Linked DNA regions of Caenorhabditis elegans. The protein of the gene in region 4 purifies or fractionates together with the protein of the main gene of each other region. This does not show direct contact. Each region holds a gene or a part of one and is shown on either strand. Other genes may lie near its edges.

Region 1 (5,861 bases), on a different chromosome or scaffold from region 4:
GACCGCCAACCAATTAGCAATGTTGGTCACGCCCACCTCGGATCGCTTATTGGTCGGAAAGCCTTCACTGAGAATCGCATATGTCTAGTGACTTTGCAAATATATCAAATTTCCGGTAAAACCAAAATAACGTCGGTTGCATAAACTTGCCGAAAATTTCGAAATCTACTGCAGGCGTGGGCGGCAAACGATTTCTTTCCGGCAATTCGGCAACTTGCCGGAATTAAAAACTTCCGGCAAACCGGCAAATGGGCGGAATTAAAAATTCCGATAAATCGGCAAATTTCCGGAATTGAAAACTGCCGGCAAACCGGCAAATTGCCGGAATTGAACATTTCCGGCAAATTGCCGGAGTAGAAAATTTCCGGCAAATCGGCAAATTGCCGGAACTGAAAGTTTCGGCAAACCGGCAAATTGCCGAAATGGAATCTACAGCCAAATCGGAAAATTGTCGGAATTGAAAACTTCCGGCAAATCGGCAAATTGGCGGAATTGAAAATTTTTGGCAAACCAGCGAATTGCCGGAATAGAAAATTTCCGGCAAATCGGAAAATTTACGGAAAACCAGCAAATTGCCAGAATTAAAAACTTCCGGCAAACCGGCAAATGGGCGGAATTGAACATTTCCGGCAAATTGCCGGAGTAGAAAATTTCCGGCAAATCGGCAAATTGGCGGAAATGAAAATTTCCGGCATATCGACAAAACCGGCAAATTGCCGGAATTGCAAATTTCCGATAAACCGGCAAATCGCCGGAATTGAAACTTTTCTAACTTTTTCAAACTTGAACAAAACTCAAATATCAAATTTTTTTCCGTGAAAATCCCAAAATTCCACGTTGGAAATTTCAAAATTCCAACAGCAAAAAAAAAAAACGCCGCGGACAAAATTCAAAATTCAATTTATTCCTAAATTTCGACTCGGTGGTGTGTGCGTGAGTTGTTCAACAATGTTCAGTCGACTAAAGCAAAAAGTGAAAGAAAAGACGGGCAGAAGCAAGGCGACAGTGCTTCCCGCCGAAATCGACGAGGCGTTGATCTACTTCAAATCTCTGAAGCCCCGCGTCCAGGATCTCTACAAGCACATGGCAAATCTGAACGACGTGGCAAATTGGCAAGTGAAAGCCAACTTTTCAGGCCCACTGGAGAACTATGCTCTGCTCGGAGATCGTATCAACGTGCAACCGTTCATCAATTGTGTCGACACGCGGATGGAGGCAGAAGTCGAGTCGATGGATAAGGTGCTGGCGATTTGTGAGCGGTACAAGGCGTTCACACAGAACGAGAGTAAGCTTCACACAAATACAATTGCCAATTTGAATAAGACACGTCTCGATATGGATAGTGCTGCGAACAAGTACGCCAGCAACGACACTGACGTCAATCGGACTCGGTTTGATGATGCCACTCGTGAGTTTGAGGTGGCTTGTGATCGGATGCGTGAGTTGGCGATAAGTATTCAGACAATTGAGGAGACTCATTCCATGTGGCAAGATGAATTGATGCGGGAGATAAAGGCCGGAATGAGGAAACCGAATTGAGGTGGTGGTGGTGGTGGTGATGGATGAGAAATTGAAAATTGAAGAGATCTCACAAAAAAACCTTTTTTTTTTTTGAAAATAAATTAGGTTATTATGAAATATTGTTTTGCCAATTTTCTAGGCGGCGTGGCCTACACGATTTCAGGCCGCTCTTTATGAAAAGCTAAGTTCTGGCGTCGAAAATTGCCAATTTCTTGAAAAAAAAATACCGGAAATTGTTTTGTCGAAAGCAGTGGTGGACGGCAATTGCCGTTTGGCAAATTCGGCAAATTGTCGGAAATGCCGGTTTGCCGGAAACTTTAATTTCCGACAATGTGCCGGTTTGCCGAATTGTTGCCGGAAATTTTTTATTCCGGCAAGTTGCAGATTTACCGGAAACTAAATTCCGACAATTTGCCGATTTACCGAATTACCGTATATTTTCATTTATGGGAACTTGCCGGTTTGCCGTTTTGACGAGAACTTTCATTTCTGGCAATTTGCCGGTTTGCCGAATTGACGGAAATTTTCATTTCTGGCAACTTGCCGGTTTGCAGTTTTGCCGTAAATTTTCAATTCTGGCAATTTGCCGGTTTGCCGTGACGGAAATTTTCGTTTCCGGCAACTTGCCGGTTTGCCGAATTGCCGCAAATTTTAATTTCTAGCAACTTGCCGATTTGCCGGAAAATTTCATTTTCAGCAATTTGCCGGAAATTTTGATTTCTAGCAAGTTGCCGGTTTGCCGAATTGACGGATATTTTCATTTCTGGCAACTTGCCGGATTGCCGAGTTGACGGAAACTTTAATTTCCGACAATTTTCCGGTTTGCCGGAAATTTTCAATTCCGGCATTTTGCCGATTTGCCGGAAACTTTAATTTCCAACAATTTGCCGGTTTGCCGAATTGCCGGAAAATTTAATTTCCAGCAAGTTGCCGAATTGCCAAAAATGAAAGTTTCCGGCAACTTGCCGGTTTGCCGGAAACTTTCAATTCCGGCAATTTGGCAATTTGCCGTAAATTTTCAATCAATTCTGGCAATTTGCCAGAAACTTTTAATTCTGGCAATTTGCCAGAAATTGTCATGTCCGGCAATTTGGCAATTTGCCAGAAATTTTCAATTCCGACAATTTGTCTATTTGCCGGAAAAAAATCGTTCGAATTTTCAAAAAAGTGGTGATCTACCGAAATTCTGCCAAAAGTCAAAAGAACAATCAATTTTTTGCCAAAAAATTGCCAGATTGCGTATAATATTCTGAAATTGTAGATTTTACTCGAAATTTAACTGGAAATTGCCAATTTGTCGAGATTTTGAAAAATTAGAAGTTTGCCTAATTCACTGCGAAAATTGTGCCAAGTCGCCAAAAGACGACGAATGCCGAGAAAAAAAACCACGAAAATGTCAGAAATTGTCCGCGATTTCCGCACCTTCCTCCGCAATTTCCTTAATCTTATTCACTTCTTCCTGTCCAAGAACACCCATCGGCACAAGCAGAGTGCTATTTTCGAGTCCCTCGGTCTCCGAGTTTTTCTGTAATTAAAAAATTATTAAATTTTCAGAAATTCTTCAGAAAAAACTCGTACAGTACTAGTGACAATCACTCCGATATGATTGTTAAGGCTCCGCGAGCAGCAAACACGGACTATTTCGTCGAGAATGAGCTTCAGAGCAAGCTTGAACTCTGGCGGCTCACCGGCTTTCGACGTTTCGAACATTGCCGGATTTCCGTCAATTATGAAGAATGTGTACTTTTTATTGGCCGTTGAACCCTCGAAATCGTCATCCTCGAAGCGGGTTTCGTCCATCTGGAAAAAAATTGATTTTTTTCAAACTTTTCTCGAAAAAAAATTCAAATTTTGACTGAAAAAATCGAAAAATTAATTTTTTTTGAATTTAAAAATATTTATTAAAATATTTTTGTTCTCAAAAACTTTGAAATTTGACATTTTTCAAGTTTTGAAAATTTCGAAAGTTTTTTTTTTCAAATTTTTCGAGAAAAAAATATCATATTTTGTCGATTTACGGAGCTCGTGACTGAAAAATTAAAAAAAAAAAACTTCTCCTCGAGGAGTACACCAGCTGCGTAAATAGACACACGGTTTTTATGCATGTGTCGATTTACGACGGATTTTGAACTACACGTGGACAAGTTTGAGTTCAATTTTTTTGCAAAATCTCGACTTTTTTTTTGGCTAAAATTTCAGTTTCCGAAACATTATCCCTCGTAAATCGACAACCCCTGTGTCGATTTACGCAGCAGCCTTCGTGTACTCCTCGAGGAGAAGTGTTATTTTTTGCTCAAAAATTTTAATTTTACAATAAAATAAATTACTTTGCATAGAAAATTTGAAAATAGCGAAAATGTTCAAATTCTCCCCGTAAGTCGACACAAATACTATAATAAATTGAAATAATTTTTTCAGAGATGGAAAAACTCCAAAAATTCAGTGAAAAAAGGGAGAATTAACACAGGATTCGATTGTTTATCAGATATGATTTGAGTATTTTCGGGAATATTTTTTTGGGGAAAAATAAAGAATTTTTCACTGAAAATTAGGAGAAAATGGAAAAATGGAGGAGGAGGAAATGACTTGTGAAAAAAATTAGGAAATTAGAAATTTCGACATAAAAAAGACGGGAAAATCGCAAAACTGGGGGGAAATTTTCAAAAAAAAAAGAAAATAAATTCATTGAATTTTCATCATTGGCGCAAAAATATATGAAAGATCCACTCGATTATAGGCATTTTTCTCCAAATATTTCTCATTGATTCGATCAGCCAACATCATTGAATCGATTTTGCACCCATTATATTCGACACGGACTTTGGCGGCTTCTGGAAAAAAAAAACTTTTTTGAAGAAAAAATTGTACAAAATTTCCTGGAAATCGAACTTTTAATGCTAATTTTTAGTGAAAAATTGTAATTTTCAACGAAAAAAAAAACTCAGAAATCGGAGAAAAAATTTACTGAAAAAAAATTACGGATTTAAAATTATTTGAGCCAAGCTTTTCAAAGAATACGGTACCGGGTCTCGATACGACAAATTGTTGTTGAATGCGAAAAAGTGTGCGCCTTTAAAGAGTACTGTAGTTTCAAACGGATTTTTTTAATCGATTTTGCGCATAGAATTTCACACGATTTGTTAAAACTTAAGCGGTTTATTTCAGTTTTTTTGTTTAACGAAAAACTGAAAAAAATGGATGAAAATTTCTCAAATTTCATCCAATTTTTTTCAGTTTTTCGTTAAAAAATATGCTTTTTATTAGAAAAACTGAAATAAACCGCTTAAATTTTAACAAATCGTGTGAAAATCTATGCGCAAAATCGATAAAAAATTCCGTTTGAAACTACAGTACTCTTTAAAGGCGCACACCTTTTCGCATTCAACAACAATTTGTCGTGTCGAGACCCGGGCGCAAAAATCGTGAAATTTCGGGATTGAGTAATAAAATTATAAAAGCCGAATAATTTTATCTCCGTAATTTTTTTTTTGAAAAAAAAAAATGCTGAATAGCTGCTGAAATAGAAAATAAAATTTTTTAAGTAAACTTTTTCTCCGAACTCTGCGTTTTTTTTTTTGAAATTACAATTATTCACCAAAAGTTTACATTAAAAGTCCGATTTCCAAAAAAAAAATTGAAAGAAAATCACATTTTTTAAATCGAATTTTGAATGATTTTAACGCAAAAATAGTTAAAAATGTTCTCCTAATTCGGTTTGTTTCCATTATTTTCGAGATTTTCCGCTAATTCTCACGATTCTTGGCTGAATTTCGCCGAAATTTCCCATTTTCTAGGGATTTTTCCCATTTTTTTCCAATAAAATTTCGCAAACACGAACTTTTCTGGGCGTCGCTCAACTTTCGTACAGCCGCGTCGACATCGAGAATTGTTCGAAAGAACATTTGCTGATCGAAAAGCTGTTTTGAAGTGTATTCACGACGGAGCACACCAGTTGAGCATCGAATACATTCGAGTCCTTCTCGACACCATTTCATCGTTTGTACGCGAGTTTTGAATTCACACGTTGGCTCATCGCATCTGCAACAAAAATTACGATTTTTTGAAAAAATTCGGAATTTTTTTTTAAATTTTGCCTCTAAAAAAAAGAAATTTTATGGGGATTTGAAAAAAAAAATTGTTTAATATTTTTCAGTGTGCGGTTTTTTGTGTTTCGATTTTCAAAAAATTCGGAAATTTTTGCCATTTTTCCTATTTTTACAAGAATATTAAGTGTGCGCCAATAGCCGTTGGGCAAATTGCCGGAAATCTTTAATTCCGACAATTTGCCGATTTGCAGGGAACTTTCCAATTCCGGCAATTTGCTGGTTTGCCGGAAATTT
Region 2 (5,232 bases), on a different chromosome or scaffold from region 4:
ACACAAACTCCGTAAATCGACACATGACTGTTTCCTCCGCCTTTTCTTCTATTTTTCCCGACTTTCAAATCCTCACATTAGCGATATTATTCTGCAAATCCGGAATAACATCCTTGACAGTATACTCGACAAGTGTATCACTAATCAAACGGAAGCATTTCTGATCCGGTTCAAGATCCTTGATCACTTCGAGAACACGTCCAAATTCACGTCGTTCCTCTTCGATTCGAGTCACTTCGGCGGCGATATCCTGTTGTTGATCACGTAGAGCCTTGAACTTTTCGACGACTTTTCGTTGCTCTTCTTGCTCGGCTGGAGTGGCGGCGGCGGTTTGAGCGGCCGACATCTGGAAGTTGTGGATTTTTTGAAAATAATTGTTTTAATGGTAGAGAGCCAGTTTTTTTTTGGTTTTTTTTGCCAAAACTGACCAAAAAAAATTTTTATAATTGAAAAAAAAAGATTTTTCAAAATATTTTGCAAAAAAACTAGTGAAAGCCGATTTATTTTTGAATTTCTCACCGATTTTCTACATTTTTGTATTTTCCGGCTTTTTTTATCGGTTTTTCATTGTCACATTTTCAGTCATTTTTCAGCAAAAAAAGTTGAAAACTCTAAAATTAGCCAAAAATCGATAGTTTTTGTGAAAAAAAAAGTCTAAAATTATCGATTTTTAGGGTAATTTTAGAGTTTTAACGCATTTTTTTAAGGGTTTTGAAGTTTTTTTTTTGCGGAAAAATGACAAAAAAACACAAAAAATGGATTATTTTAGGCGAGAATTCAAAAAAAAATCCGCGTTTTTTCCAATTTTTAAACCTTTTTTTTCCAAATAGATATTTGAAGGCGCTGGGAAGTTCCCAGTGGGAACCTCTCAAAATTAATAAAATAATAAAAAATAGCCGGAAAACACAAAAATGGCTGAAAAAGGATTTTTTTCTAACTTTTTGTTGCAAAAATTTCAAAAAATCAAATATAAAAAGGCACGGGGAACCTTTGAAAAATCGATAAAAATATCAAAAATAATAGGGGAAATATTGTTTTATGGTATATAAAAATTACAAAAAAAGGGAAGACAGACTGGGAAAAAATTGGAAAAAAATGAGAATATAAATAAAACAAGGAGTATCATTTTAACATTAAAAAAATCAAATAAAATAAATAAATAAATTTTAGCAGCACATTCTGCAATTTTCAAGATTTTTCAAGACTCCATCGCTTCCCCATCGGCACCATTCTGATCCATCTGACGATTCCATCCCTTTTCCGGAACCTTTCCCGATGCCAGAATCGACTGAAGATAGTTGACTTCACTGAGTGACTTGGCATTCTTGATCGCTTCCTTGATCTTCTCCCGATCTTCATCAGTAAGCCGAGCACCTCCACCCGAACTATTCTCATTTGGTTCAATTTCTGATGGATCTTCTGTATGAACACTCTTCTGAATCGCATCTCTCGCCTTCTTTCCACTTTTTCCTTTGAACATCTTCTTCGCAGCTTCACGTTCTGTCAGTCTGACTCGATTGAAGTCAATCACTCGAACCGTCGGCAGCTTGTAGATCATATACATCCGATAATTGTCCTTGTGAGTTATCGGATTTCCGATAAATGTCACGTACTCGAGCTTCTTGCATTCTGCCAGTGGCTCAATGTCTCCGAGCTCGCAAATGTTGTTGTTGGTCAGTGCAAGAGTTTTGAGATTTGGAAGTTTTGTGGCAATGTCGGGTGCGATATAGCTGAAAATATGGGGTAAATTGGTGGGAATGGAGCTCGAAAATGTGGGAAAAAAGCAGTTTTGCAATGAAAAATGGAGGGTTTTTAATTTTTTTTCAGGAAATAGTAACCATAAAATTTAAATTTTTGAAGAATAAATTAGAGAAAGTATTTTAAAAATTTGAAAATGACCAAAATTTTAGGATATTTTCTGAAAAATCGATTTTTTCCCCTACTTTCCGAAAAAAACTTCGATTTTTCGAAAAATGGCTTAAAATTTTTCGAACTTTTTCAGGAAAAAAATTATATTTTTCCTATGTTCTTTCATAAAAAACTGATTTTTTCGTTTTTTTTTTTTGGAAAAAATAGCGAAATCCGGCTAAATCTGAATTTTTCGCCAACTTGCCGAAAAAAAAATTTGGAAATTTCATGAAATTTCAGAGCAAAGAAACGTTTTTTTTTCAATTTTTTAAATTCAATTTAGGGAAGTTTGTCAGAATTTTCCGGTTTAAAATTTTTTAAAACCCTATTTCAAGCTGAAATCACCGAATTCTGCCAGGAAACCCCATTTTTCGGTACTTTTCAGTCGAAAATAACCAAAGTTGGGTACAAATCGACTGGAAAAGCACTAAAACACGGATAAATTGGCAAAATTGGAATTTTTAGCTAAAATTTGGGCTTTTCCAGCAAAATATGGTGCAAAATTCTATATTTTTAGCTAAATTTAGCCACTTTTCGCTCGTTTTTCGGAAAACTACGCACTTGATTCGATTATTATGAAGATACAGCGTATTCAAACGAGAAAACGTCGGAAAATTGTCCAATTTCCTGATATCGTTGTCAGTCAGATCGATGACATCGAATTGATCCCTCGTCACTCCCATATTCTCGATTACGGGGATTTTTTGGCCGCGCAAGTTGATCTCCCGCATATTGACCGAATTGACGAATTGTGGACGCTCGGCGAACAGCTCAGTCGTGAGACGGACCATTTTTCGCTGGAATTAGGGGGTTTTCAATGTAAAAAATAACAAAAAAACATAGAAGATAGACAAAAAGTCGGCTGCAAACCGGTTAAACATCAAGAAAACTTGAAAAAAATATATATGAAAATTACAGAAAAAAAATACATTTTACATAATATATCACACGAAATATTTAACAGTTGGACTATATTTTACATGAGATCAAATTATTCCACAAAATAGTCTATTTAACCATGTTTTTCAGCATTATTCACGAAAAATCAGTGTAAAAATATAGAAAATCCCTCGATTTCTCTGAAATTACCATTTATTCCAGCTGAAACGTCCATTTTTGTTCATTTTCTCAACTGTTTCGGCTGAAATAAATGCTGTTTCTAGATAAATCTAATTTTCAATGAAAATATGCTGGAAAACATAATGAAATAGGTCATTTTGTAGAATTCCCATGGTCAAAAATTATAAAAAAGCCCACAGCGCAACGAAAATGAAGACAATTATAACGAATGGAAGGTATTGAGCGAGCATATCCGTGTTACGAACGAAGCTTCCTTTTGTCAGTGAATACCACGCCAAATTGATCATATTCCAGTCCTCGCGCTCATCGTAGCGCATTTTGTTGAGAGCCAGAGCCACGTGCGAGTGACAATTATCGCAGATGAGATTGTGCTGGAAATAAATGAAATATTGATCGGAAAAATCGATTAAAAACCGTACAGTTCTAGTTTTATACGTGTCGGAAGCATCTTGAACTGCTCTATCGAAGACTTCCGCGCCACCTTCCACCTTTTCCGGGCCTAATTGCCAGTATCTTGTGGGCCAGCCGAATCCCATGTCGTCTTCCTAAAAATATTCTACTTTTTGGAAGTAATAAATTGAATTTGGGCACAAACCGCCACATAATAGCTCCCAGCAAAGTCTCGAATGATTCCACGGCTATTCGCGATTCCCATGTGGCCGATGAATGGGAAAAACCAACTGAAACAGCATTTTTAGCTGGATTATTGGGATAAAATTAGATATTTCCTACGTCAGGCATGGAATCGGAGTCCAAACAATGCAGTATGGATACCGATTGTTTTCTGGGCAGATGTCACGGTCGGTGAGCGGCATCATTGACCTAGAAATGGAGATAGACACTGGTGAATTGGAAAAAAACGAGCAGATCAGGTGATTAAAACGTTTAAAATGTATGAAACAAAATTTCGTGATAATTTTAAGCCGAAAAATCAAAAAATCGCCTCAAAATTGAAGGAAAACAATCGAAAAACGCAAAATTCTGGAAAAAAATAAATCGAAAATTCAAATGTCCGCAAACACCGCGCGGCGAAACTGCACACAATGCGCAGTATTGTACGCGCAAAAAACTTGGAATAATAAGAAAATTTAATATTTATTCGGCAACTAAAAATAGGAAAATTCTAATTTAATTGGAATTTTTATGAACAAAAAAGCCAAAGCGGAAATTAAACCCTACCGTACTACCCATTCCTAAAGGCGCATAAGTCTTTATCAGGCAAAGATCGAAAGAGATGCTATCAAATTGCGGTATGAATGGACAATATGTGCAAAGTACAAGCCAAGACAAACTGAATAACAATGAAACTGAAAAGGAAACACCAAAGTTGAGATAGGTAAATGTTGAAGATCCCGAAGGTTTTTCATCCAGGCGGGAGCAAAAAGTCTCTTTTTCAAGTTCACTTCTGAATATCTGTTTTTTCCATCTTTTTACATTGAAAAATGAATTTGAATCAATAATGAAATAAAAATAATCTTCATCAATCAATTGGAAGTCATAAACGAAAAGAAATCAGGAAAGTTATTGTTTTTCAATTGTGCGTTGGACCTTCAAAGTGATGTTTCCTCGATTCTTGAAATCTCTTAAACCTCCCTGCAAAAAAATACAAAAAATTACATTTAAAAAATCTAATTCTTACATAATTATAAATATTTATTCCATCGATCGATAAGTTTATGTCACCAGCATAAAGAGCTTCATCTACCGGCGATCCTGGAATAACCGAAAGAACCTTGGCGATGCCATTTGAGATTGTAATATGGCATCCAAAATGTTGACTGGATGTCTGAAAAAATCTGTATAAGTATACTGGATGTGTTCGGGATGTATACCTTGTTAATTACAACAGTAAGAATTTCATGCTCCGGGACCGGCTCCGGTTCCTCGCTTCCTTCGAGAATTTTTGGAATACAAGCCGCCTGAACCGGCGTCGCAGTTTTAATTTGCATAGTTTCGAGCTGTTGGTTGATCCAGGAGCACACGCCGAGCTGGGAGAATTTCTTAGTTGTCATGTTGTCTTCGGAGATTTGAATGGGCTTTGGGGTGTCATCTGATGACTTGAATTCATCGCCTTCTTCTCCATCGGATTTTTCTTTATCTGAAACTTAGTTTTTCCTCGCCCTTGACAGCTTCTTCAATTTCCTCAAAATCTTCATTTTTCACGTTTCCTGAGCTAGGAGGCTCTTCCTGTTCTTCATTCATCTCCAAATCATCATCATTGTCCGGTAGAATTGCGTCTGGCAT
Region 3 (6,882 bases), on a different chromosome or scaffold from region 4:
TTCGCGCCTGTCTGGCATGGATTATTGGTAGAAAATTTCGAGAAAGTAATTCGTCTTGAAGGGAAAATATTTAATTGTCTAAATTGAAGAAGCCTGCAGTCCACTTATTTTTCTTTAAAGTTTTGAACTTTGGGAAACTTTCGATGAAGCTTGGATGAAGATTCTAGATTGCGCCGCGAAAAAACATTAAACAAATTCTTACGTCACTTTTTTCTATATCTGTTTTACAAAAATATCTCCTAAAGCAATCAAATTTGTAAATAGGGTTCTGAAGACGAAAAGAAATGGGTTAAGAGTCGTTAAGTCGAGAATGGAATCAAATTGAATGAAAAACATTTACATTGAGTAGGATATTTGAACAACGTTATTGAGAAAAATATAGATATTATGGGAACAAAAAATTCTGAAAATGCGTACTGCACAACATATTTGACGTGCAAAATATCTCGTAGCGAAAACTACAGTAATTCTTTGAATGATTACTGTAGCGCTTGTGTCGATTCACGAGCTCTATATTTATCGACTGAATAACAAATTTGAGAAAAAAAATTTGAGAAAATCTAGGGAAAATAAATTATTTAATATCGAAAATCGAGCCCGTAAATCGACACAAGCCCTACAGTAGTCATTCAAAGACTTACTGTAGTTTTCGCTACGAGATATTTTACGCAATACACATTCTCAGATTTTTGTGCTCCCGAAATATCGTAATTTTGCTAAAAATTGGCAATTTCAAAAGCACATGGGATTTTTTGAGTGGGTCTCGTCACGATCTCAGTCATAGAGATCGCTACAAATGCCAAAGTTCACAGATTTGTTAATTTTCATCTAGACTTTTTTTCAAGTTTAATAGTATTGGAGAAATAAATATTTGGATTCAGAATTGTTCATTTCTCTAAAAATAGTTTAAAATACAATACAAAATTCTTTCAAAAAAAAGCAAAATTATTTCTTGACGACCGCTTCGAGTTGTTTCTGAAGTGCATTTCGATGAGTTTCCCCGTTCCAGACGGCTTCCAGCACTTGTTTTTGCTCCGTTTTTCCTATTTTTACAGCGTTCAGCATAGCTTTCTGGGCTCTTGTCACTTTCAAACCAGCGCTAGCCACTTGGTTGATGAAGTTCTGAAAACATATTTCAATGTATTATAGCAATGGCGCTCCACGGCGAGGTAAAAATGCTCCGCCCCCAAACGTTGGGTCTCGTTAGGTATTGACTTTTTTCTTGCATACTTTTTCCGTTTTAAACATGTTTTTCATAATAATGGAAGAAACGGAAATTAATTTTAAGAAAAGACGAGAATAATTGAAAATGTTCGAATACCTAACGAGACCCAACGTTTAGAGGCGGAGCCTTTTCATTTGCCAGTGGAGCGCGAATGCACCTCGATTTTATGGGATTTCTAGGCGACAAATGACGTCACAGTTCCGTACCTCAGCTTCATCTTCACTTTTGTACACATAATCCACATATCCTTGATCCTTTGCTTCCTCAGCTGACATAACATTTGCCCGTCCCATTGCAGCTAATGCTCGTCCTCTACCCATAATTCCCTCCATATATTCGGCACCTCCCCACGACGGAACAATTCCCATTTTCGATTGAAAAAATGCGATTTTCGAGCCAGAATGAGCAATTCGAATGTCGGTCGACGAGCAAATTTCGGTGGCTCCGCCGAGTGCGTGGCCATGGATTTTCGCAATTGAAATAGCTGGTGATGAGTGGAGAAGTGAAAGAATTGATGACATGTACTCGAACATTTGGACGCCAAGCTTTTGGTCCGAAATCTGAAATTTAAACATTTGAAAGTTGGAATTTAAAAATTGGAATTTCATTACATCTTTGATAAGACCCAAATCAGCACCCGAGCAGAACGATTTTCCAACTCCCGAAACAACGATAATTGCGTTTTGATCATCGGAAAATAGCTGAAAAGTGATATTTCAGGCATTTTTACTACGGTCTCGCAACGAAAAAAATAATTTCAAATACGACTGCGCAAAAACATGTGTGTTTTAAAGTACAGTAACCCACTATATTGTGAAAATTTATAAAATTTAGCGAAAATTTATTTGCCTACTGTAAATAGCGCTTGTGTCGATTTACGGGGCTGATTTTCGAAATGAATTTTTTTCCGAGTAGCGACAGCGATATTCCATTTTCCTTCGTTCCAATATATTCTTTCAATAAATAAATTATTTCGATTCGTTTCGAAAATCAAGCCCGTAAATCTACACATGCGCTAAATACAGTAGGCGTCAAATATGTCGCGCAATACGCATTCTCGAAAGTTTTTGTTCCAGTAATAGTTGTACCTTCGAATATTCCAATATAATTGTGTAATTTAAATTTAATAATTTTTGATCTTCCCGTGAGAGCGTGTAAAATTAAAAAAAAAGGAATTTTTAAATAAATGAAATTGAGAGAGGCCGTGTAAAGCCGTGTAAATACGTGATGTTAAAACGGAATCAGATTTTTCAAAAAAATGAAGCAAGAGGATTGCAGAAGCAAGAGGATTGCAGAGCAAGTAGGACACGATGCGGTGCCAGTGAAAAAAGTTCCTTGGGAAGAGCAACAGTTGATGAAGAAAGTGAAGCGTCTGCAATCGGAGAACGAAAAGTTGAAGGTGCAGCTGGATGATATGGTGGATTGTTTTGTGGAAACGAAGGAGGCTCTTGAGAAGGAAAAACGTGTGACGGACTTCCTGAAAAAGGCGATTTCCGATCTCAAAACTCTTCCGATTGAATGTGAGATTTGTGCAGTACAATATGGGGATTCTGGAATGACCGTGCCTCGTGTTCTGCGTAAGTCTGCCAATGCAACTCATAAAATAATGATATTATTCTTATCATATTCAGCGTGTGGCCACACAATTTGCACCGAATGCGCTGGAAATATTATCCAAAACAAGATGATCCGTTGTCCATTCGATAGAAAAGTGTACAAGTTCAATAACAAGACGATCGAGAATCTGCCCAAGAATTTTTCTCTCATAAATCAGTAGAAATTCGAATAAATGATTTGAAAAATACTGTGTAGATTGATTCTGATTCTGAGATTCTTAAGGTCTTCGCGCAAAACTACAGTAACCGGTATCACAATAATTTCAAGTTCAGCCTGCGTAAAAACATGCGTGACAATTAAATTAGTACAGTAATCACGGGGTTCTGGCCTTTATCATTGAATTTTCGCGCTCCATTGACAATCGCCTGCCGGACAACGTGTGGAAAAGTGCCGTGTACTCCACACGGGCAAATACATCAATTTTACAACTAAAAACGAGCCGCGACGCGACACGCAACGCGCCGTAAATCTACATAAAATCTCTTCGACCCAAAATGGCCTAGTTCGGCAAACTCTGCCATTTCGATTTATGAGGGAAGCCAGAATTCCGTGATAATAATTTACCATATTGTTTCAAATTTTTTCTATTACGGGAACACAAAATTCTGAGAATGCGCATTGCGCAACATATCTCTTAGCGAAAACTACAGTAATTCTTTAAATGACTACTGCTGCCATTGTGTCGATTTACGGACTTGATTTTCGAAATGAATTTCTTTAAGACATCGATATTCCATTCTCATCTGTTTCCTCGTAATATTTGCTAGTTTTTTCTCAAATTTATTATTCAATCGATAAATAAATAATTTAAATTCATTTTGTAAAAAGAGCTCGTAAATCGACACAAGCCCTACAGTAGTCATGTCATTTACACGTGGTGTGAGAGTGTCCCATTTCGGTTTGATCTACGTAGATCTCGAAAATTTCGAGAATTTAGATGCAGACTTCTCAACTAGTGGTTAAGAACGTGCTGACGTCACATTTTTTGGGGTAAAAAATTCCCACTTTTCTTGTAGATCAAACAGTTATGAGACAGCCTGACACCACGTGCATTTGAAGAATTACTGTAGTTTTCGTTATGAGATATTTTGCGCGTCAAATATGTTGTACAATACGCATTCTCGGAATTTTGTGTTCCAGTAATATACTCAAGCATTTAGTATTAAAAAGTGCTGGAGAAATCGGTTGCTGCACTTCTTAAAGGCGCACACTGTTTTGCTCGGTCTCTACCTCTAATGCATCAAATTTCACGCGCAAATTCAAAAACTTGCCTCAGTGTGCTCTCCAAACTGCTTCATCATTTCTCCAGACAAACAATTATTCTTTTCCGGGCGGTCCAGAATTACGTCAAGTCTTGTTTTCAGCTTCTCGTTTCGCTGAACTCGAATCGCACCGCCTTGCCATGATTTAAAGACTTCCAGCAGTGCTGCGGATGGTCTAACCTGAAAAAATTCAATTCTAAAGGCACATAGTCGTGAATCACGCAATATTCAAATTTCGAAGAACATACCACTTTTCCAGACATTTTTGTCGCTCAGTTGCCCTGAAAAATTAGAAAAATCTTTTTATTTTTAGGTTATAAGCGGTTAGTGAGAAGAATAAGAATATATTTTCCCTATTTTTGAGTCACAAGTCGAAGCCCCGCCACCAAACGCAGGGTCTCATTAGGTATTGGCGGAAAAACAAGAAATTCAATAGTTTTCTTGACAGTTTTAGAATCCAAAAAACCGGTGCAAAATTTCATTTTCCTACAATTTTTGTACAAAAAACCGTACAACAAAGACCCCGCCCCTAAAATAGGCGGGGCTATGAACCATTTTGTGGGCGTGTCTGGCGGTAGATTTTACAACAAAAAAGTATGACGTGAATCGAGGAATCTACGAATATTTATTGCATCAATTGAAAAATCAATCTATCATCGCTTCTTGGCAATAGAGATAAAGTTGCAAAATTTCAAAATCTAAAAAAAGGAAGGATGGAAAATAATTTAATTTATTGCTATGAAACACGAGCGCTTAAAATGGGAGAGCCGGGGGGGGGAGGGGGAGTCAATAAATAAATATATAAAATTCAAATAATTAAATAGGACACAGAAGCGTGCGTTTTGCAAAATAAATTTTTGGGTGGAAAGAATGAAACAAAAAATGCCGCTAGAGACTGGAAGACGCAGAGATAGAGATAGGGGGAAAACATCACTGATCTGACGAAAATTTGGCCGAATCTGAAGAATTTTGGGGGGTACATTGTATCTAGAGAGCATGAAAAATTATGACAATTCGACCGAAGAAAAAGGCAATTTACTGGAATATATATTCTAATCAAGGGTGACGTCGAAAAATTCTGATTTTTCGGTATTTTGGGGTAATTGAAAAATCGAGAAAAAAAATCGATTTTTCCGAATTTTTCAATGCAAAAAAACGACACATTTGATTGCAATATACTTTGACTATTCAAAAATTTTGAAAAAAAAAGGTTAAAAAGGAATACTAAGTGATTTCAAATTGGAGTGGCACCTGGATTTCGCTATTTGATTAGTTTTGCACAATCTACTGGAAATTCTAAAATTGGAGAATCTTGGGGGATATCAAGAAATAGAAATAGGCTATCATTTTGTTTTTACATTAAAAAAAAATAAATCAGGGAATGTTACGAGAGAGATAGAGAGAAATAGACGACTAGACTATAATCCAAATGGATCGGCTGAGGCGGCCTGGGCCTGTTGAGCTTGTGCAGCGTTCTTTGCAGCCATCGCTGCATGAACCAATTGAATTTGGTGTTGCTGTTGTGGTGGAACAGGTTGTCCGTATCCATATTGTTGACCGTATGCTGCTGCAAAAAAAATAAGATTTTGAAAATCTACCGAAATATAGTGCCAGACACGCCCACAAAATGGTTGAATTCCTATTCTAGGCGTGGGGCTTTTTTGTTTTTGTTTGGTATTATTTAGACCAAAAAATAAACCAAAAACTGCTCACTTTCTCGCGGTTTTTTAATAAATTTAAGTATAAATTTTTTTTGTTGGTTTTTTGGCCCGAAATCCAACCCAAAAATGTTTTGCTATTTTTTGTCCAAAATTATTTTTCCGCTTATCCAAAAATTGCTGGAATATGAAATGTTCCACCGATTTTTCGATTTTAAATAAAACTGAATTTTTTCCAGAGGTTTAAATTTTATATTTTAGTATAAAATAGGTGTATGAGCATATTTCGAAAATGAAGCAAAAATTAACAAAAAATGCTTCAAAATCGATTTTCACATTTAAAATAATCTTGAAATATTGTGAAAAATTAGATAAAAATTCAATTGTTCCGAGATTCTAATTTTAAAAAAATTCCTCGTTTTTTCGATAAACTAACCCATCGCAGGATTCCACATTGGCTGAGCACCAAATGGTTGTTGATACATTCCCATTGGAGCCGTATACATTGGCTGAGGAGCCGACGTTGCTCCAAACGGATTGTTTGAGACGGCAGAAGTTGTGGTATTCCAGCCGGCCGGTGCTCTGTAACTAAGATATTTTTAGGCAAGATTTTTCGATTTTCTTTAGAAATTGTGAAATTTTGTAAAAGGTAATATGTATAATCTAGCCCTAGTGGTTCGTTCGTGTCGTGAGTCACGAAAAAAATTGCAACAAAAATTGCATTAAAATTGACAAAAATAATCCTACCCCTGCTGATTCAATGACATTTGTGCAGTCATTCGAGCAAGATCATCTGGATGAGCATTTGGATATCCGAATGGAGCAGCTTGATGACCTGGAATTAATATTTTAATTTTTACATTTTTTTGTTCAAATTTGAAGTCATCTGAAATGTGGGGTGGTTATGAAAAACTGTAAAACTGTATTAATGTTGAAGTAGAGTTAATGAGTTTTTTTTTGCGGAAATAGACTGAAACTTCTCAAAAATTTACTTTTCTCGTTAAAATTTAAAATTTCCCAGAATCGTTTCATTCGGCTGGAATACAATTTTTAAATGAAAAATCTCCCTCTATTGCATATTTCGGACGGTTCAAACTCCCAAAACATGCGATGAAAGATG
Region 4 (4,103 bases):
AGAAAATTGTTGAAATAAAGTGTTTTATAAAAGCCGTTTCAATCTTGCCATTATCCCTAATAATCTCTAATAATTTACGTTTTTCAAACTGTAACACTATATTTGGATTTAATAACTTATATGAGATATATGAGATATATATAAAATTCCAAAAACCCCTGTCAATCAAAGGCGTCACAAAAATGAAATAAAACTCATTTTCCTGAAAACAAAATGTGCTAAGTGGCTGAACTTGTTTCTACGAAAAAAACTGGGTGGCTGAAACGTCACTCTTGTTTATTTGAAGAACCTCGAGTCATCAGGACGCATGGAATAATTGAATGAAGAGATCATGAAACAAGAATAGAACAAAAATTGAAATAAGTAGAATAGTAATTTCCTGAAACAGGAAGTTTAAACTTGAAATGTTTTGAAATTAATAGTACTAGATAGGTATGAGATTAAGAACCAAATTTACAGGCCGTGACACAATTCGTAGCATGCTTTGTTTTGATAATATTGACTCATCGTATTCATAAACCCTTTACACAACCAAATTCGTATGTACAAATATGCCCCCGTAGATAACAACTAAAAACAAATTGGAGAATTACAAAATATGTAGTACGACATCCAACAAGCACTGCTAATACATGATTAAGATACATATATAATAAATTTAAAATGAAATTTAAAAAAATTGAACTAAAACTAACGGTTTTCATGACGTCACAAATATTACTAAAAATTTTATTGGAACAACTGATGGATTTTAGATGTATTGTGGCCCTAAAGAGGGCCGTTGGGTTCGGTGTAATTAGCATTGAGCATTTGATTGCTTACTTGCTGGAAGTGTACTTGGTAACGGCCTTGGTTCCCTCAGACACGGCGTGCTTGGCAAGCTCTCCTGGAAGAATCAAACGAACAGCGGTTTGAATTTCGCGGGATGAGATGGTAGAACGCTTGTTGTAGTGAGCAAGACGAGATGCTTCAGCGGCGATACGCTCGAAGACGTCATTGACGAAAGAGTTCATGATGGACATAGCCTTTGAGGAGACTCCAGTATCTGGGTGAACCTGCTTGAGGACACGGTAGATGTAGACAGAGTATGACTCCTTACGGGCATGACGTCTCTTCTTTCCGTCCTTTGGCTTGGTGACGGTCTTGGCGGCCTTCTTGGCTCCCTTTGCAGATGGCTTTGGTGGCATGATGAGAATGGACTTGTGACAAGTATAAAGAAATGGGGTTGTATAGAGATTATTATATACAAACAATGCGGTGGGAAGGCGGAGTCTCTCTGCAGGGACACATGTCTCACTTGCACCTGTACTGCCGAATGCACATAGACAATAGATGGTGTCTCCCCGATAAGACCCTCCCCCACCATCACCGCACAGAATACATAAAAAGGGGTCATTGAATACACCTCACCAGTTTACGAACAAAAACACTCAACTAGCAATGTCTGGACGTGGAAAGGGAGGCAAAGCCAAGACCGGAGGAAAGGCCAAGTCACGCTCATCAAGAGCTGGACTTCAATTCCCAGTCGGTCGTCTTCACCGTATTCTCCGTAAAGGAAACTATGCTCAACGTGTCGGAGCTGGAGCTCCAGTTTACTTGGCCGCTGTTCTTGAATACCTCGCTGCTGAGGTTCTCGAGTTGGCAGGTAACGCTGCTCGTGACAACAAGAAGACTCGTATTGCCCCAAGACATCTTCAACTTGCTGTCCGAAATGACGAGGAGCTCAACAAGCTTTTGGCTGGAGTGACTATTGCTCAAGGAGGAGTTCTTCCAAACATCCAAGCTGTTCTTCTTCCAAAGAAGACTGGAGGAGATAAGGAATAAATACTTGTCTCCAAATAATACAAACCGAACCCAACGGCCCTCTTTAGGGCCACATTTACAATAAATCCTCTAACATCTTATTAATAAACTTTTTTTCGAACATTTATTTTTTCTGGCTCGGAAAACTCATATATGCACAATATAGATTATGCATTCAATTATCTTCTTTTCACTTTTGTCAGTTTACTACCGTCATTTCACCTCCGGAACTTACTGGACCGAAATATGACGTCACTCTTCAGGTTTCATTTTCCTGTAATCTGTTCATACACACCACGCAGTTTTATTATTATATTTGCAGTATATTGTTTGATACATTATTAATAAGCTGTGCTATAAATGTTTCTAAAATATATCATGCTTATATGCATATTCATTAACCCATAGAAAATATAAAACATGACAGGAAAGGGTGGGGGATTACAGGGAATACCTATTCAAAGTTAAATAGACATACCCAAATAGCAACAGTAAAGATTGTAGTTCTTATATTGATAGTTTCAAACTGGCATCAAAGATGTTTTGTTAAAGGTCGAAGTCCGAAAAAGTAGCTCTTTTGATCTGTGAGTTATGAAGAAGTGTGCCCAATGATAAGAAATTAGAATTAAAAATTTAGTCTTTTCCACATTTTGCTCTATATTTTCATTGGCTTTTCAAAAACCATAAGATAAGAATTTTTGAAGTTTCTGCAATGTGAAAGTCACACCAGCATTGTTTCCGGTACAGAATGTGTATATAAAGAATTGAGAAATCACACTAGTATAAGTTGAAGCGATATGAAGTTGCTTATTGTTCTTCTTATTCTTGTAACCACAATAAATGCTGCCAAGAATGGAATTGATTTCATTCAACCAGTTTCAGTTGAAACATTTAAATGTATTCACAAAGATGGATATTCTTTCGTAATTCCAAGAGTATTTACTTCTGTTGGAACTCTTGATCATACTGGAATTCAAAATGTTAAACACGCTAGAGAAGGAAATAAATCATTTAAGAATACGTTTGTTAACGGTAGAAAAATTTCAGCTGGTTTAACTGACGTTGATGGATACATTTTTCCTTGTTTGGCATCTCATTGTCCATCTGCTGCAAACCAAGTTAAAGAAACTCTCGATGCTCTGAAGAGCGCTGGTACTCATGTATCCACCCTTTGGTTGGATATTGAACGTCTTGCATGGCCTGCTAATCATGCTCATAACCGTGCTTTCATTGAAGAAATGGTTAAAGAAGCCGAGGCTAGAAAACAACATGTTGGAATCTACAGTAACTACTACAACTGGCAAGATATAGTTGGATTGGATTACCATGGTCAATCTCATTTAATGCTTTGGTGGGCAACATACGATGGAATCAAGGATTTCTCAAAATTCGTAGCTTTCGGCGGATGGAAAAAACCAACAATTCATCAGTGGCATGGAACTACCAAAGGACCATGTGGAGTCAGTGTTGATTTGAATTATGTTCCATAAGTTTAATATATATTAACGAGTATATAAATCATGGAATTGATATTTTCACATTTTATTAAAATAAAAAAAACAAATTAAGAATTCATATCATTTGTGGCCCTAAAGAGGGCCGTTGGGTTCGGTGGGTTTGCAGAAAAACAGAAGATAAATGAATTATCCTCCGAATCCGTACAAAGTTCTTCCTTGACGCTTCAGAGCATAGACGACGTCCATAGCAGTTACCGTCTTTCTCTTGGCGTGCTCGCAGTAGGTGACAGCATCACGGATGACGTTCTCAAGGAACACCTTCAAGACTCCACGTGTTTCCTCGTAGATCAATCCAGAAATTCTCTTGACTCCTCCTCTTCTGGCGAGACGGCGAATTGCTGGCTTGGTGATACCTTGAATGTTATCACGGAGCACCTTGCGATGGCGCTTGGCTCCTCCTTTTCCAAGGCCTTTTCCTCCCTTTCCACGTCCGGACATTGTTGAGTGATTGAATTGAAGACTCACGAATGAGATGAAAAAATGAAGAAATGAGGCTGTCTTTTATACCAGCTGCGGTGGATGTAGGAGGGATCACATTGAACCATCCTGTTAGGACACATGGTGTACCACTCTCTCACTCTCTATCTCTTCCATTTTCTGTAGATAGGTCATTCGGTTAGAATGCAAACACTGAGATGTGTCCCTGCAGGGGAATGAATGAGGTCTCCGCCTTCTCACCCCAATATTACACTTCTTCGTATAAAAGGGGACAGACTAAAGGTTTTTTCACAGTCCCCTCGGATTTTCATCTCAAACGCAATGGCTCGTACCAAGCAAACCGCC

The links.
Region 1: the proteins of lys-10 (region 4) and cku-70 fractionate together in Caenorhabditis elegans (co-fractionation; one large-scale study listed by BioGRID). This does not show direct contact.
Region 2: the proteins of lys-10 (region 4) and mog-2 fractionate together in Caenorhabditis elegans (co-fractionation; one large-scale study listed by BioGRID). This does not show direct contact.
Region 3: the proteins of lys-10 (region 4) and C32E8.9 fractionate together in Caenorhabditis elegans (co-fractionation; one large-scale study listed by BioGRID). This does not show direct contact.

Annotation. Positions count from the first base shown.
Region 1 is NC_003281.10:11,152,287-11,158,147, reverse strand, and holds the start of cku-70 (Ku domain-containing protein), read right to left. Parts: upstream 3,322-5,861; coding exon 3,100-3,321; intron 3,047-3,099; coding exon 2,944-3,046; intron 1,540-2,943; coding exon of another isoform or gene 949-1,539; intron 1-948. Other genes in the region: Y47D3A.31 (BAR domain-containing protein), read left to right, coding at 949-1,539; pola-1 (DNA polymerase), read right to left, coding at 4,204-4,352, 5,360-5,559.
Region 2 is NC_003280.10:4,321,834-4,327,065, reverse strand, and holds mog-2 (putative U2 small nuclear ribonucleoprotein A'), read right to left. Parts: upstream 2,706-5,232; 5' UTR 2,700-2,705; coding exon 2,470-2,699; intron 1,731-2,469; coding exon 1,199-1,730; 3' UTR 1,024-1,198; downstream 1-1,023. Other genes in the region: pfd-2 (Prefoldin subunit 2), read right to left, coding at 77-346; H20J04.6 (Transmembrane protein 222), read right to left, coding at 3,150-3,359, 3,408-3,533, 3,584-3,668, 3,721-3,806; Y52E8A.1 (RNA helicase), read right to left, coding at 4,510-4,581, 4,628-4,774, 4,821-5,000. UniProt on the Caenorhabditis elegans protein: This protein is associated with sn-RNP U2. It helps the A' protein to bind stem loop IV of U2 snRNA. Required maternally for early embryonic development and zygotically for germline and somatic development. Has a role in the switch from mitosis to meiosis.
Region 3 is NC_003279.8:3,793,683-3,800,564, forward strand, and holds C32E8.9 (Ethylmalonyl-CoA decarboxylase), read right to left. Parts: upstream 4,387-6,882; 5' UTR 4,368-4,386; coding exon 4,353-4,367; intron 4,285-4,352; coding exon 4,114-4,284; intron 3,033-4,113; exon of another isoform or gene 3,003-3,032; coding exon of another isoform or gene 2,857-3,002; intron 2,803-2,856; coding exon of another isoform or gene 2,484-2,802; exon of another isoform or gene 2,477-2,483; intron 1,927-2,476; coding exon 1,837-1,926; intron 1,786-1,836; coding exon 1,432-1,785; intron 1,123-1,431; coding exon 946-1,122; 3' UTR 874-945; downstream 1-873. Other genes in the region: C32E8.1 (RING-type domain-containing protein), read left to right, coding at 2,484-2,802, 2,857-3,002; Phosphatidylinositol-binding clathrin assembly protein unc-11, read right to left, coding at 5,523-5,671, 6,199-6,350, 6,510-6,597.
Region 4 is NC_003282.8:8,330,226-8,334,328, forward strand, and holds lys-10 (LYSozyme), read left to right. Parts: upstream 1-2,600; coding exon 2,601-3,293; downstream 3,294-4,103. Other genes in the region: his-29 (Histone H2B 1), read right to left, coding at 819-1,187; his-30 (Histone H2A), read left to right, coding at 1,441-1,824; his-31 (Histone H4), read right to left, coding at 3,447-3,758; his-32 (Histone H3), read left to right, coding at 4,080-4,103.